2 linked regions of the Oryctolagus cuniculus genome follow. The main gene of each other region encodes a partner of the protein of the gene in region 2 in a complex. Links are inferred from orthologs where the notes say so. Each region holds a gene or a part of one and is shown on either strand. Other genes may lie near its edges.

Region 1 (6,883 bases), on a different chromosome or scaffold from region 2:
CTGCCAGGATCACCAGGCTGGATTGATGAGCAGGGACGGAATTCACACTCAGCGGTGCTGACTGCAAGAGAGGGAAGGGCGTGTGTTCTGGGCGAATTTATACCATCTGCTCAGTCTGCTCAGCAGGACACCCTACAGTCTGGCTCTCAAAGCCGTGGACACAGACGCCGTGGGATCCCGGGTGTGGCACCTGCGTGGGAAACGTGGGTCACAAAGTCCCGTCCTCTTGGTGCCCCCAGCAAGGCCCCTCGTGTTGGCAGTGGTGTCTCTTCCAGCTCCGTGTCAGGAGGAGCTCAGGGAATTGGGCCCCGGGCTCCCCGGGGGCTGGCAGATCCAGACGGGCACCCAGGTCCGGCAGCTCTGGCAGCTGTGTTCACTGGAGAAGCAGGGCTGAAAATACTCGGCATTGGAACACATCCTGCCTTTTATGTTTCTTGTCTCCGTGAGGCTAGAAACGGTGAGCCTGAGTGTGCCGGCGTGTCTCATTAGCATGTCACAGAGGGCGTCTCCCAGGTGCCGTGAGTTTAAGATTCGCTGATTGATTTGAAAGGTAGAATGATGAGGCAGGAGAGGGTTTCTTCTGCCCTCTGGTTTGCTACCTAAATGGCCACAACAGCCAGGGTTAGGCCAGGCTGAAGCCAGGGGCCACCTGGGTAGCAGGGCCCAAGTGTTGGGGCCATCTTTGTGCTGTCTTCCCCAGGCACGGTAGCAGGCAGGCGGGATTGGAAGTGGAGGAGCCAGGACTTGCAGCTGCTGTGCCACAGTGGCTGCCCTGGTATGGGTATTTTGATGGGATTTTATTTTTCCTAGCTAGTAAGAAATCTGACTTGTGTTGTCATTCATGTAATATCTTGGTTTGACGTTTATTTGTTACCTACTTACACATTTTATTTTTAAGAGGCTTTTATTCATTTATTTGAGGCAGAGTTACAGAGAGAGGGAGAGAGAGAGAGACAGAGGGCTTCCACATACTGGTTCACTCCCCAGATGATTGCGATGGCCAGAGCTGGGATGATCTGAAGTCAGGGGCATCTTCCAGGTCTCCCACGTGAGTGCAGGGGCCCGAGCACTTGGGCCATCTCCCACTGCTTTCCCAGGCCATAAACAGAGCCAGATCAGAAGATGAGCAGTGGGACATAAACTGGCATCCATATGGGACGCCAGCGTCACAGGCACAGGCTCAGCCTACTAAGCCACAGCACCGGCCCCCTCATATTTTAAAAAGTTTATTTTCTTGGGGTGAACGCTGTGGCATAGCAGGTTAAGCCACTGCCTCCAACACCGGCATCCCACATGGGCACTGGTTCTAGCCTTGGCTGCTCCTCTTCTGATCTAGCTCCCTGCTAAGGAGCCTGGGGAAGCCTCAGAAAATGGCCCAAGTCCCTGGGTCCCTGCCACCCACGTGGGAGAGCTGGAAGAAGCTCCTGGCTCCTGTCTTCAGCCAGGCCCATCACTGGCATTGCGGCCATCTGGGGCGTGAACCAGCAGGCGGAAGACTCGTATTCATTCTTCTCTCCCTTCTCTCTCTAACTCTTTCAAATAAATAAGTCTTTAAAAAAAAAAAAAGTTTATTTTCTTGCTTTGTTTGAAAGGCGGAGCTACAGAGATCTTCCACTGATTTGCTCCTCAATAGCCAGAGCTGGGCCAGGCTGAAGCCAGGCTGTCGCACCTGGGGGAAGCCAGGGAGAACCCCGTATGGGTCTCCCGTGAGGGTGGCTGGGAGCCAAATACTTAAGCCATCATCTGCTGTCTCCCAGGGTGCACCTCAGCAGGAAGCAGCATTGGAAGTGGAGGATCTGATCCCGGGCCTCTGGCGTGGGAAGTGGGCATCCCTAGGGGTTTAACCTGTGTCACTGTGCCTCCCCAGGACTGAGCCTAGAGCCTCCCACCTTGTAATGAAGCTCTGCCCAAGCTGCAGCCAGAGCCCTCCTTGGCACATTCCTATACTGGAAGTTCACTTGCCTCTCATGTGTAGTGAGGGTGGCCTAGCACGTAGGCTGTGGCAGCTGTCAGGGTGTGGGTGGCGTGGGTGCTTTGTGGTGCACGAGTTCTGTGTACCTGCTGGATACCCAGGTGTTTACCGAGTCCACCCAGTCAGACCTGCGCATCGCACCGAGGGTCTGAGAAGCTGGCTGAGCTGCCCTGACGTTCTCAATGGCAAGAATTCCCCAAATGTCAGTGTTGGGGCCGGTGCTGTGGCACAGCGGGTTAATGCCCTGGCCTGAAGCGCCGGCATCCCATATGGGCGCTGGTTCAAGTCCCGGCTGCTCCACTTCCAATCCAGCTCTCTGCTATGGCCTGGGAAAGCAGTGGAAGATGGCCCAAGTCTTTGGGCCCCTGCACCTACGTGAGGGACCTGGAGGAAGCTCCTGACTTCGGATCGGTGCAGCTCCTGCCATTGTGGCCAACTGGGGAGTAAACCTTGGATGGAAGACCTCTCTCTCTCTCTGCCTCTCCTCTCTCTGTGTAACTCTTTCAAATAAATAAACAAACAGTAGTTATTCATCTTGGTATAGAAATAAAGTGTAGACGTGCAGTGTAGACGTCATGGGTATTCAGGCCGTGCTGACTTTACCTTGAATCTTAAACAAAGGCCAAGGGGACTGAGGTTCAAGACAGGTCTCCCTCGGGAAAGGGGGTGGGTGATTCAGACCCTCCTGGCCGTCTCGCTTCAGAGAAGGGCTCTGCGTTTGTCTTGGTGAATCTGAAACCAAGCCCTGTGGGGAGGCCAGGAGGTGGGTCAGGACTGCACATTCTCACCTCCCAGAGGTGGCACTGCGTGTGGGAGGAGAGGGTCCTGGGAGCTGGCCAAGGAAGGCTCGGGGGGAGATACTTTCTCAGATGGTGACAGGTGGAAGGTGTCCTACCAGCCTGGTCACTATATGTGAAACATCTGCTTTAAAATAAAAAGTACTCTTCATTTGAAAGGCAGAGATACAGAGAGAGAGAGAGAGAGAGAGAGAGAGAGAGAGGTCTTCCATCCACTGATTCACTCCTCAAATGACCACAATGGCCAGGGCTGGGCCAGACCCAAGCTAGGAGCCAGGAGCTTCTTCCTGGTCTCCCACATTGGTGCAGGGCCCCAGGCGCTTGGACCGTCATCCACTGCCTTCCTAGGGCACTAGCAGGGAGCTGGATCGGAAGTGGAGCAACAGGGACTTGAACCTGCGCCCATATGGGATGCCGGCACTGCAAAGGAGCAGCTTTACCCCCTGGCCACAAAGCCGGCCCCGTACGTGGGTTTCTGTCTCATCGGAGAAGCGAAGTGCAGCGCCGTGACCGCGAGAGGCTGCTTGGTGGCAGCATGGAAGGCACGAGAGCCCGGCGCTCCAGGGCCAGTGTCACCTGGGAGCCCGTCACTGCCCCTGCCCGCCTCTGAATCTGCACTTAGTGGTTCAGGTACACTGTACAGCTTGAGAAGCCTTGGCCCAGAGTGGGGCCGGGCTGACGGCCGGGCTGGACACCATTGCGTGGCGTCCCGGCCCGCCGTTGGGTGAAGGTGTGGGTGCTGTCGCGGTGCCTGGGCCCTCACTGCCTCCTCGTTTCTTGTGCGCACAGCAGATTCTGTCACACTTGGTATGGGCACCGTCTTTACCATTTGCAGCTCCTTGTCCAAGACTAATTTTGTGTTACGTTAAATCACTTGCTTTGTGCTCAGCTTCCTGCTTACGCACGGGCACAATTAGGAGACGGGAAGCGTCTTCAGAAACACGCACGTGCTTTCCAAAATAGGGGCAGCTTCACTCCCGGCACCGGCACAACCTGAGGTCGCCAATTAAGGGGCTAAATCCAGTCCCAGGGCGTTCTGCGCCCTGATTGCTCTGGCTCGTGCGTCACGATACCGGCGTGAGGAAACAGGATACAGGTGGGAGACGCGTAGACAAAAAACAGCTGGCGCCCGGACTTAAAACACCCCCAGTCTGCAAAGAGACCCAAATCCAGGAGACGTCGGTGCCAGCGCCGTGAGAAGCATGGGCCGCCGCAGAGCCAGAGGAGTGCTGCTGCCCCCCGGCCTGCTGCTGCTGCTGCTCTCGGGGGCTGCGGCCACGGCCACCCTCGCCCTGGACGGCGGCACCGGCCAGGACAGCCAGGTGAGTCCAGCCGCCCACTCCCCTGTGCGACCCCCAGCATCTGCATGGCCGGGCATGTGTGGTGGGGGGTTGAAGGACACCAGACTGGACTGGGCTGCCCTGTGGTACTGGGATGTCCCCTGCAGGCAACTGATGGACACTCGGCTTACTGGGGACCACTAGTGACATCAGAAAACCTCTGTGACACACGGGGCACCGGGGAGCCTGAAGTGGCCTCCCCAGCCGCGGTGGCGCGTGGTCAGCCTTAACTTGCACACGGCACGCGCTCTCGCCGGTGCACATGAACCATCACCAAGTGTCCGTTGTGAGGATCCGCGACTTCCTGTGGTGATTTATTTCTCTCTTGTCCGTTTTGAAAAAGTTCCAAGAAAGACTACATAAAGTCGACCATTAAAAATGGATTTTTCTCTGAAATTGCCGGATGAGTTTGAGATGGGCCATCCGTCAGCAGGCTGCTCGGAGCAGTGTCCCCACCCCGGTGTCTCGGAGCTGCCACTCACGGTGCACGGGGAGTGACAGGTGTCCCGACCCTCCTGCCCCAGGCCCGGGGCGGAGCAGGCGCTGTCTGCACTTGCCTGCTTGCCTCTGGCACGGGGAGTGACAGGTGTCCCGACCCTCCTGCCCCAGGCCCGGGGCAGACTGGACGAAGTCTGCACTTGCCTCAGGCTTGCCGGCTTTGCCCTCCGTCTAAGGGGCTCCCTCAGCCTTCCCAGCCTGGGGCGGGGAGCGCCTCTCCATGTTGAAGGGCCTGCGAGTCTGGGGGCCAGATTCCTGACCTCTCTCTCCTTTGTCATCTGCCTCTCTCTGAAAGCCCACGCAGGAAGGGGCGGCGGCGGAGCAGAGCGGGCTCCTGACCTTCCTGGCTCGGTGGCACGCGTGGACCGCCCAGGCCCGGGGCACGCCCAGCCGAGGGGACACGGGGGCCATGTCCAGGCGGCAGCAGGGTCCGCCCCCTCCGCCGGCCCCGCCCTGCCGGAATTTCTTCTGGAAGACCTTCTCCTCCTGCAAGTAGCTCTCGCTCGCCCGCGGGGACCCCTGGAAACCGAATAAAATATGATCAGCAGAGTGGGCGTGAGCGGTGTTCTTTCCCAGCTGCCCCGGGGCCTTGGCGCGCCGGGCTCACCGCAGCTGGAGCAGTTTGGGATCCAAAGGAAATGCTGCTTTCTGGTGGCGAGCAGGGCGTGCTCAGTGCCCCCCCCCACCTCCCGTCTTCCTGTGGTTTACAATAGCCAAAGGCCACCCCCCCCCACCTTACAGAGTGACAGCGCGAGCTCTTCCATCTACTGGTTCACTTTCCAAATGGCCAGAAAGGCTGGGCTGGGCCAGGCCAAAGTTGGGAGCCTCTTCCAGGTCTCCCACGCGGTGCAGGGGCCCAGGGACGTGGGCCATCCTCTGCTGCTTTCCCAGGCCACAGCAGAGAGCTGGAGAGGAAGTGGAGCAGCTGGGACTGGACCCTGTGCCCGTATAGAATGCTGGCCACAATGCCGGCCCCAAGGCCACCTGTCTAATAAGAGGTCAGAATAACGTTTCAGTTGGTTTTGATACAGATTCTCTGAAAAATGCTTCCCTCGCATTCAAAGCAGCTTTTCAACATTGTGTTCAAAGAGCAAAATATTCATGTTGTAGCCAAAATTAACCTTAAAAATATTTGAGAGATATTCGGACGGAGAGACAAGGGCCCATCCACTGGTCCACTTCCCCGATGGTCGCGGTGAGCAGGGCTGGGCTAGTCCAAAGCTGGCAGCCAGGAGCTCACCCAGGTCTCCCCCAGGGACCCAACTGCTGCAGCCACCACCTGCTGCCTCCCAGGGTGTGCAGTGACAGGAAGCTGGGCCCAGGAGCCAGAGCCGGGAATCGAACCCACACACTCTCATATGGGGTGCTGGCATCTTAGCCACTAGGTCAAACGTCCACCCCTCTAATTAAATTTTTAAAGGATTTTATTTATTTATTTGAAAGGCAGAGTTACAGGGAGGGAGAGGTAGGGACAGAGGCAGAGAGAGAGGTCTTCCATCACTGGTTCACTCCCCAGATGGCCACAATGGCCAGAGCTGCGCCGACCTGAAGCCAGGAGCCAGGAGCTTCTTCCCAGTTTCCCACACAGGTGCAGGGGCCCAAGGACTTGGGGCATCTTCCATTGCTTTCCCAGGCCATAGCGGAGAGCTGGACTGGAAGAGGAGCAGCCAGGACTGGAACCAGTGCCCATATGGGATGCCAGCACCCCAGGCGAGGGCTTTACCCACTACACCACAGCGCTGGCCCCTCTAATTAATCTTGAAACTGTGCCATTAAACAGCACCGTGCTGACTTGATTATAAAAGTGACCCCTGAACTTGCTGTTAGGTGCTGGTTTTAATCAGTGACTTCATTTGTTAGTGATTTTCACAGGTTGTAGCTTAGATTTGCCCTGAAGTTTATTATTTCGTTCATTCTTTCTTTTTCCAAGATTTATTTACTTGGCAGGCAAAGTAACAGAGAGAGGGAGAGACAGACAGGTCTTCCATCCACTGGTTCACTCCCCACATGGCCATACTGGCAGAGCTGAGCTGATCCAAAGCCAGGAACCAGGAGCTTCTTCCGGGTCTCCCACGGGGGCCATCTTTACTTTCCCAGGTGCATGAGCAGGGAACTGGATCGGAAGTGGCGCAGCCCACATGGGATGTCGGCGCTGCAGGGGGTGCTTAACCTTCTGTGCCACAGCGCCGCCCTGGCGTTTATAATTTCAAACCAGATACGGGGGCAGCACTGCTGCCTAGCCTGTACCTTGCCTCCACTTCCTTCTGAAGTGTATG
Region 2 (7,427 bases):
TGAGGATGGGTGCCCTGGGGGTGTGGGCAGGGGTGCCCTGGGGTGTGGGCAGGGGTGCCCTGGGAGTGTGGGGAGGGGTGCACAGGGGTGTGGACAGGGGTGCCCTGGGGTGTGGGCAGGGGTGCCCTGGGAGTGTGGGCAGGGGTGCACAGGGGTGTGGGCAGGGGTGCCCTGGGGGCGTGAGGATGGGTGCCCTGGGGGTGTGGGCAGGGGTGCCCTGGGGTTGTGGGCAGGGGTGCCCTGGGGGTGTGGGCAGGGGTGCCCTGGGGTTGTGGGCAGGGGTGCCCTGGGGGCGTGGGCAGGGGTGCACAGGGGTGTGGGCAGGGGTGTCCTGGGGTTGTGAGCAGGGTGCCTTGGGGTCATGGGTAGGGGGGCACAGGGACATGGGCAGGGGTGCCCTGGGTGTGTGGGCAGGGGTGCACAGGGGTTGTGGGCAGGGTGTCCTGGGGGCGTGGGCAGAGGTATCCTGGGGGCGTGGGCAGGGGTGCACAGGGGTGTGGGCAGGGGTGCCCTGTGGGCGTGGGCAGGGGTGCCCTGGGGGCGTGGGCAGGGGTGCTCTGGGGGCGTGGGCAGGGGTGCACAGGGGTGTGGGCAGGGGTGCACAGGGGCGTGGGCAGGGGTGCACAGGGGCGTCAGCAGGGGTGCACAGGGGTGTGGGCAGGGGTGCACAGGGGCGTCAGCAGGGGTGCACAGGGGCGTGGGCAGGGGTTCCCCAGGAAGCTGTTGCCTGCTGGGCCCTGAGACGGCCGAGACCCAGAGGGGCTTCCTGGAGGAAGGGTCATCTGAACTGAGGGCATTCACAGGAGAAACGGAGGTGGGCGAGCCCCAGGCCGTGTCGTGGGTGACGGGAGGCGGCCGGACAGGGCCACACCCCCTCCTTCCCTCTGGGGTGCTCTAGCCTGGGGCTGAAGTCCAGGGGTCACTGGACCGGCCTTTGTCTCAGAGCAGGCAGCTGCACCTGGGGTGTCGCAGGCCCCTGTGGGTCACGGCTACGGTACGGGTCCCCGTGAGAAGTGCCTGGGGTCCCCCTAGGGAGTCCATGTGGCCACTGTCCCGTTGCCATGGCTCCTGGGCCACACCCATCGGCACTGTCTGAGCGTCCCGCCCACTTCACCTAGCTGGATCCTGCCGGCTGGGGTGCGGGAGGGGCTCGGGGCAGCCGGGCCACCTCTGGCCATCAGGGCTCCCGGGGTTCCGGTCTCAGGGGCCCGGGCAGGCTGCTGGGCCGTGTCCCTCCTGCATTCCCAGGAGGCGCCAGCTGTGCCCAGGCACCTGCAGGCAGCGGCAGGTTGGAGGGAGCCCCTGGTGGGCGAGGTTGAGTGGGCTGGGGACGGGGCTTGGGGACCTGGCTGGGGAGCAGGGGTGACTCTCCCGGGGCAGCCCTCCAGGCCTGGCCCGGGAGCGGCCTCCGTGGGTGGGGGGCTGAGGAGGTCAGGGCAGTGTCACCCCCGGGGCCCCCAGCACAGGGTCTCCCCCACAGCGTCTGCTCAGCCTCCACAGCTTCCTGTCTGCTCTCTGTGGCCTCGCCGCTGTCGGCAAAGCCGCCTCGGCTGGACACTGTCTGCCCCATCTCCCCACCCCACCCCCGGCCTCTGGCTGTGCTGGGGGCCAGAGAGCAAGGCAGAGGGGGCTCGGCTCCAGGCACCACTCCCGCCCCCCGCCGCTCGCCGCCCAGGGCCCGTGTGCCTGCTTCTCTCTCCAGCTCCACTGCTCGGTCGGAAACGCCCCCTTTACAAACCGGCCCCGTCGGCTCCGCGGGTTCTGAGCCCGTGGACAGAGCCGTCCATTTTGTCCACAGATGCTGCAGGGGGCTGCTGGGGCCGGGTGGGGGGCAGCTGCCCTCGGCTTGCTTGTCCCCTTGTCCCGTTGTCCCCTTGTCCCCTGTCCCTGGCCAGGTCAGAGGCCAGAGGCCCCGGCACTGCAGCGTCAGCTCCAGGGCAGGCACTGCGCACCCTGCCGGGCAGCAGGGAAGAAGCCAGGGACCAACGAGCCGCCATTCCCCGAAAGCCCCCGACCCCCACAACAGACCCCCCCAGGGACCCAGCCTCCTGGGAGCCGCCAGCACCCGTGGGCACCACCCCAGGGCCTGGCCCGGAGCTCCCAGCCTCGCCCAGCCGGTCTCTCCCTGCCCACCCTCGGCTCCTGTCCACACCCTCCGGGCCGCCTGCCCACACTGCAGGTGTCGGCTGAACCCCGCGTACTCCCAGGAGCCCCAGAGAGCTGGCGGGAAAGCGAGACCCCCGCGAGGGCCAGAGCCGGGCAGGTGCCCGAGGTCTCCAACCCCACCGCCGTCCCCGGCACAGCCCCTGTTCATCCGCGAGAAGCCCGAGTGCCCGGTGCTTCTCCTGGGGCGGGCGCACCCCATTTTCCCTGACTCCGGCGGGCGGCAAGAGTACGCGCCGGGGCCTGGACCGTTAGGAGGAGCCAGCGCGACGCACTCCGGAGTCTGGGCGCCGCGGGCCGCCAGGCAGGTGAAGCTCCCGGGCCCCGCCCCCGGGCCCCGGCCCCGGCCCCCGCGGGCGCCCCCGCCCCACGGCCCCGCCCCCGGCCCCCGCGGGCGCCCCCGCCCCACGGCCCCGCCCCGCCCCGCAGGCGCCCCCGCCCCACGGCCCCGCCCCGCCCCGCGGGCGCCCCCGCCCCACGGCCCCGCCCCCCCCGCGGGCGCCCCCGCCCCACGGCCCCGCCCCGCCCCGCAGGCGCCCCCGCCCCGCCCCGCAGGCGCCCCCGCCCCACGGCCCCGCCCCGCCCCGCGGGCGCCCCCGCCCCACGCGCCCCGCCCCGCAGGCGCCCGGCGCCCGGAGCGAGCGCAGCACCCGACCGGCTCCGCGGGCCGCCGCGCAGGTGAGCGCCCCTGCCCTCGCGCGCGCGGGGTCGTGGCCGAACCGCGGGGACCTGAGCGGTGGCCCGACTGGGGGGATTCCAGGGCTGGGGAGGGTGCGGGCAGCGGGGGCCAGGGCGAGCGCCGCAGGTTGTCCGGTGGGGCGGGGGGGGGGGGGCCGTCCGCGGTTGGGCGCGAGGCGGTCGGGTGTGCGCTGACCGCCGGCTCTGCCGGCCGCCGGGAGGGCGCTTGCACCCTGCAGCCCCCGACTTCCGGGCAACCCTCCCGGGAAGGGAGGGCGCTGTGGACCGTCACAGGGTCCTGGGGGCCTGCTCGCCGCCTGGCGCTGCCTGGGGGCCCGGAGCCCAGCAACCCGAAGGCAGCGGTGGTTCCCTGGTGTCTTGGGAGAGAATATGGGGGCGGGGGGCCCGGCGAGGACCAGCGGCCGGCCTCGGGTCTGAAACGGTGACCGGGGTTTCCAGAGTGCACGGGCTGTGAGGTGCTGGGGTACTCAGGCCAGCCCACCCCTGCCTCAGTTTCCCCTTGTGGGGAGGGTGCTGCCGCTGACTACAGGCTGCTGAGGGCCCCTGGGGTGTGGGGGACGGGCTAGGGGTTGCCATGGCTCCGACCCAGAGGTGAGCCCCGCAGCGCTCAGTGGGCTTGTGCCGGGAGGGGGCTTTTCCGGGAGGGGGCCTGGGCCAGGCCCTTGGGTGGGGTGGAGCCTGGTGTCTGAGGCAGGAATCCCCTCCACCTTCCCCGGGGACCCCGCGTGGCCCCCTGGTGGGGTGTGGGCCCCAGGGCGAGATGCTAGGCCCAGAGAGCCGTCTTCAGCCTCTCCAGGCTGGGCTGTCCTGCCAGGCCAGCGGGGAGGGGTGGCCCGGGCCCCAGCTGGCCCTGCCCCCAGGGCCCTCTTGAGGGGCCAGAGCCAGGGGCGGCGCTGGGGGGTGTGCCTTGAACTCCAGGCACCGCCCCACTCTCTGCCCCCTGCCCAGGTTCGGCAGCCCCCCCCCCCCCCCCGGCAGCCAGGCTCAGGGACACAAGGGTTGTGCCAGGAGGGTTGGGGGGGCAGCCCAGGGTCCTGAGTGTCAGGGCGGGTGTGGGGGACCTGCTGGCTGAGCACAGCCCTGCGGGGGGGCTGTCTCCCAGCCAAAAAGCCCCTCCCCCGGAAAACAGGTGCAGGGCCCCGTCTGAGTGCGGCGGCCCCCTCGCATGGCCGTGCCCCCCGCAGACCTGTTCCTGGGCCCGGTTGCCCTGAGGTCTCAGAGCCGCAGGAGCCTGGCCGGTGGAGCCGGGGCCTGGACAGCGGAGCCAGGGCCTGGCCGGTGGAGCCGGGGCGCCGGGAGCTTCTGCCCCTGGGCAGCCTCGTGTGCCAGGACCTGCGTGAGGAGCCCCCCTCGGGCCGTGCGTCCTGTCTGCCTGGACCCCCACGCCGCCCCCTGCCCACTGCACAGCCACCCGGCGGCTCGGCCTCATCTGAGACCCCTGAACTCTGGTTTCTCCCCTGAGCTTTGTGTTTATTGGAGAGCACAGGGACACAGAGTTCCTGTCCCTGGTTCACCCACAAGTGCCCACTGCAGTCACAGCTGGGCCAGGCCAGAGCCCGAGCCGGTGCCTCCCACGGGAGTGGCAGGGCCGTCAGCGCTGCCGCCCAGGGCGCCCGGCAGCAGGGAGCAGAGCCGGGCTGGAACCGCATGTGCTCCCGGAGCGGGTGGGGTGCCGGGCCAGCTCTGCCCACCTCCGCCCGGCGGCCCCTGTGGGAGCAGGCTCCAGCCAGACCTGCCCGCCCCTCGCCCAGGGCCACGGGGACTCCTGGGCGTTGCCTGGAAGTTGGTCACCCCCAACTCCCACCTCGTCTTTTTAAGCAGAGATCTTGTCTCACCCCACCTGTGGGAGGCCCCCACAGCCCCCCAGGTCTGCCCAGCCCCTCTCAGGCCCCCCACAGCCTCCCCAGGTCTGCCCGGCTCAGGCCCCCACGGCCTCCCCAGGTCTGCCCAGCCCCCCACAGCCCCCCCCAGGTCTGCCCAGCCCCTCTCAGGCCCCCACAGCCCCCAGGTCTGCCCGGCCCCCCACAGCCCCCCCAGGGCCGGCTCAGGCCCCCCACAGCCTCCCCAGGTCTGCCCCGCCCCTCTCAGGCCCCCCACAGCCTCCCCAGGTCTGCCCCGCCCCTCTCAGGCCCCCCACAGCCTCCCCAGGTCTGCCCTGCCCCTCTCAGGCCCCCACAGCCACCCCAGGTCTGCCCAGGCCTCGCTCAGGCCCCCACAGCCCCCAGGTCTGCCCGGCCGGCTCAGGCCCCCACAGCCCCCAGGTCTGCCCGGCCCCCCACAGCCCCCAGGTCTGCCGGCTCAGGCCCCCACAGCCCCAGGTCTGCCCGGCCGGCTCAGGCCCCCACAGCCCCCAGGTCTGCCCGGCTCAGGCCCCCACAGCCCCCGGGTCTGCCCGGCCGGCTCAGGCCCCCACAGCCCCCGGGTCTGCCCGGCCGGCTCAGGCCCCCACAGCCCCCAGGTCTGCCCGGCCCCCCACAGCCCCCAGGTCTGCCGGCTCAGGCCCCCACAGCCCCCAGGTCTGCCCGGCCCCCCACAGCCCCCAGGTCTGCCGGCTCAGGCCCCCACAGCCCCCAGGTCTGCCCGGCCCCCCACAGCCCCCAGGTCTGCCGGCTCAGGCCCCCACAGCCCCCAGGTCTGCCCGGCCGGCTCAGGCCCTGTCCGCTGCTCGGGCGCTGTGCACCTCCCGAGCCTGACTTGTGTATTTCTTCGTCCAAGTGACTACTTTTCACACTCAAGGTTTGTACTTTCAGGAAAGACACCTGCTCGCTGTCCCCCTAGGAACCGGGTTTATGTCCTAGTAGCTCGTCCCTGCCTCTCCTGAGGCACCCCGGCGTGGCGCGATTCAAACATTCATTCATTCATTCATTCATTGGAGACCGAGCGCCTGTCCGCGGGTCGCTCCCACTGCCACACCCACTCCCACTGGCACCCAGACGCGGAGCCGTCCCTGCAGGCTCCCAGGGAGCAGGGAGCAGGGGTGTCGCGGGGCAGCCCTCGGGAGCGGGGCGGGGGCGGGGGCGGCGGCTGCCGTGGGGAGGTCGAGCCTGGGCTGGGCCCTGCGCGGTTTCCGTGAGAGCTCCAGACAGCCAAGTCCCACAGTGGCTGAGACGGGTGCCCACCGCGTCACAGCTGCCTGCGGCGCGCGGCCTGGCACACGTGACCCCCATCTGAGGGACGTGACCTCCGACACTCATGACCCCGTCTGAGGGACGTGACCTGACATGTGACCCCCATCTGAGGGTTGTGACCTCTGACACTCATGACTCCTAAGGGGCATGACCTCTGACACGTGACCCCCGTCTGAGGGTTGTAACCTCCAACACTCGTGACCCCATCTGTGGGGCGTGACCTGGCACACGTGACTCCCGTCTGAGGGGCGCAACCTGGCACACGTGATTCCCATCTGAGGGGTGCAACCTGGCACACGTGACCCCCATCTGAGGGACGTGACCTGGTACACGTGACCCCCATCTGAGGGGCATGACCTCCGACACTCATGACCCCCGTCTGAGGGGCGTGACCTTAGACACTCATCACCCTGTCTGAGGGGTGTGATATGTGACCCCCGTCTGAGGGGTGTGACCTCTGACACTCATAACTCCTAAGGGGCATGACCTCTGACACATGACCCCTGTCTGAGGGGCACGACCTGTGACACACGTGACCCCCGTCTGACAGGAATGTCCTCTGACACACATGACCCCTTTCTGAGGGGCGCGACCTCCAACACTCGTGACCTCTGTCTCTGAGTGGTGCAACCTGACACACATGACCCCCATCTGAGGGGTGTGACCTCTGACACGTGACCACCATCTGAGGGGCGCAACCTGTGACACACATGACCCCCGTCTGACAGGAAGGACCTCTGACACACGTGACCCCCATCTGAGGGGCGCGACCTCTGGCACACGTGACCTCTGACGCACCACTTGTGATGGGCGCGACCTCACCACTCTCTCCCGGGCCCGTGGCGCCTCTGCGTCTGCCTCTTTCCCCTTTGTCCCTGTTGGGGGGACACCCCGTCCGCCCCGCCCCCCGCGGCCCCCCCCCCGCATGTGCTGCACGTGTTCCTTTGTGTTCGCTGCTGCCCGCCTGGGGTGGGAGGGACCTTGTCTGCCAGGGGCCTGAGAGACGTCTCATGTGGGGTCGGATCCCGCCCCGGCCAGTGCCCCAGAGCAGTGTCCACCTGCGCCCCGGAAGCTGTGACGACCTCCCCTGTCCTGCTGTCCCCTGGTCCCATAGCCCAGGGTCACGTGCCCTGGAGCAGGGCCTGCGGGGGGCGTGGACACATGCCCTGGAGGCCGGAGACGCTGGCGGGGCCACCGCAGCTGGCACAGCTGGGCACCCCGGGGGGCCGGCTGGTTCAGGGCTGTCCCACACTGTCCTACCCGTCCCCTCTGCCCGTGCTTCGTGGGCCCCCGGGTGCTGGCACCTGCTGGTCCTGGGCCCCTTCCCCGCAGGGCTCCGAGGAGCCGCGGGGAGGGGCAGTCGCCGGGCAGCCACCTCGCACGGACAGACGGCTTCCGTCTGGGCTGGCGGCCCGGCCCGCTGCCCCCGTCCCGGCG

What was found.
Region 1: the proteins of SSTR5 (region 2) and CORT are in contact, whole or in part, in a cryo-EM structure (PDB 8X8L), measured with the Homo sapiens proteins. The link is inferred for Oryctolagus cuniculus from reciprocal best matches to the Homo sapiens genes SSTR5 and CORT. Residues at the interface, in NP_001044.1 of Homo sapiens: Tyr89, Leu96, Gln99, Asn100, Ser103, Asp119, Gln123, Glu182, Thr185, Cys186, Asn187, Ala188, Trp190, Gly198, Phe201, Ile202, Thr205, Phe264, Phe265, Asn268, Asn271, Glu279, Ala283, Tyr286, Phe287, Val290, Tyr294; in NP_001293.3 of Homo sapiens: Cys93, Arg94, Phe96, Phe97, Trp98, Lys99, Thr100, Phe101, Ser102, Ser103.

What each region holds. Positions count from the first base shown.
Region 1 is NC_091438.1:157,764,611-157,771,493, reverse strand, and holds CORT (cortistatin precursor), read left to right. Parts: upstream 1-3,971; coding exon 3,972-4,091; intron 4,092-4,902; coding exon 4,903-5,103; downstream 5,104-6,883. UniProt on the Homo sapiens protein: Binds to all human somatostatin receptor (SSTR) subtypes. It also inhibits cAMP production induced by forskolin through SSTRs.
Region 2 is NC_091450.1:33,805,161-33,812,587, reverse strand, and holds the start of SSTR5 (somatostatin receptor type 5), read left to right. Parts: upstream 1-2,789; 5' UTR 2,790-2,841; intron 2,842-7,427.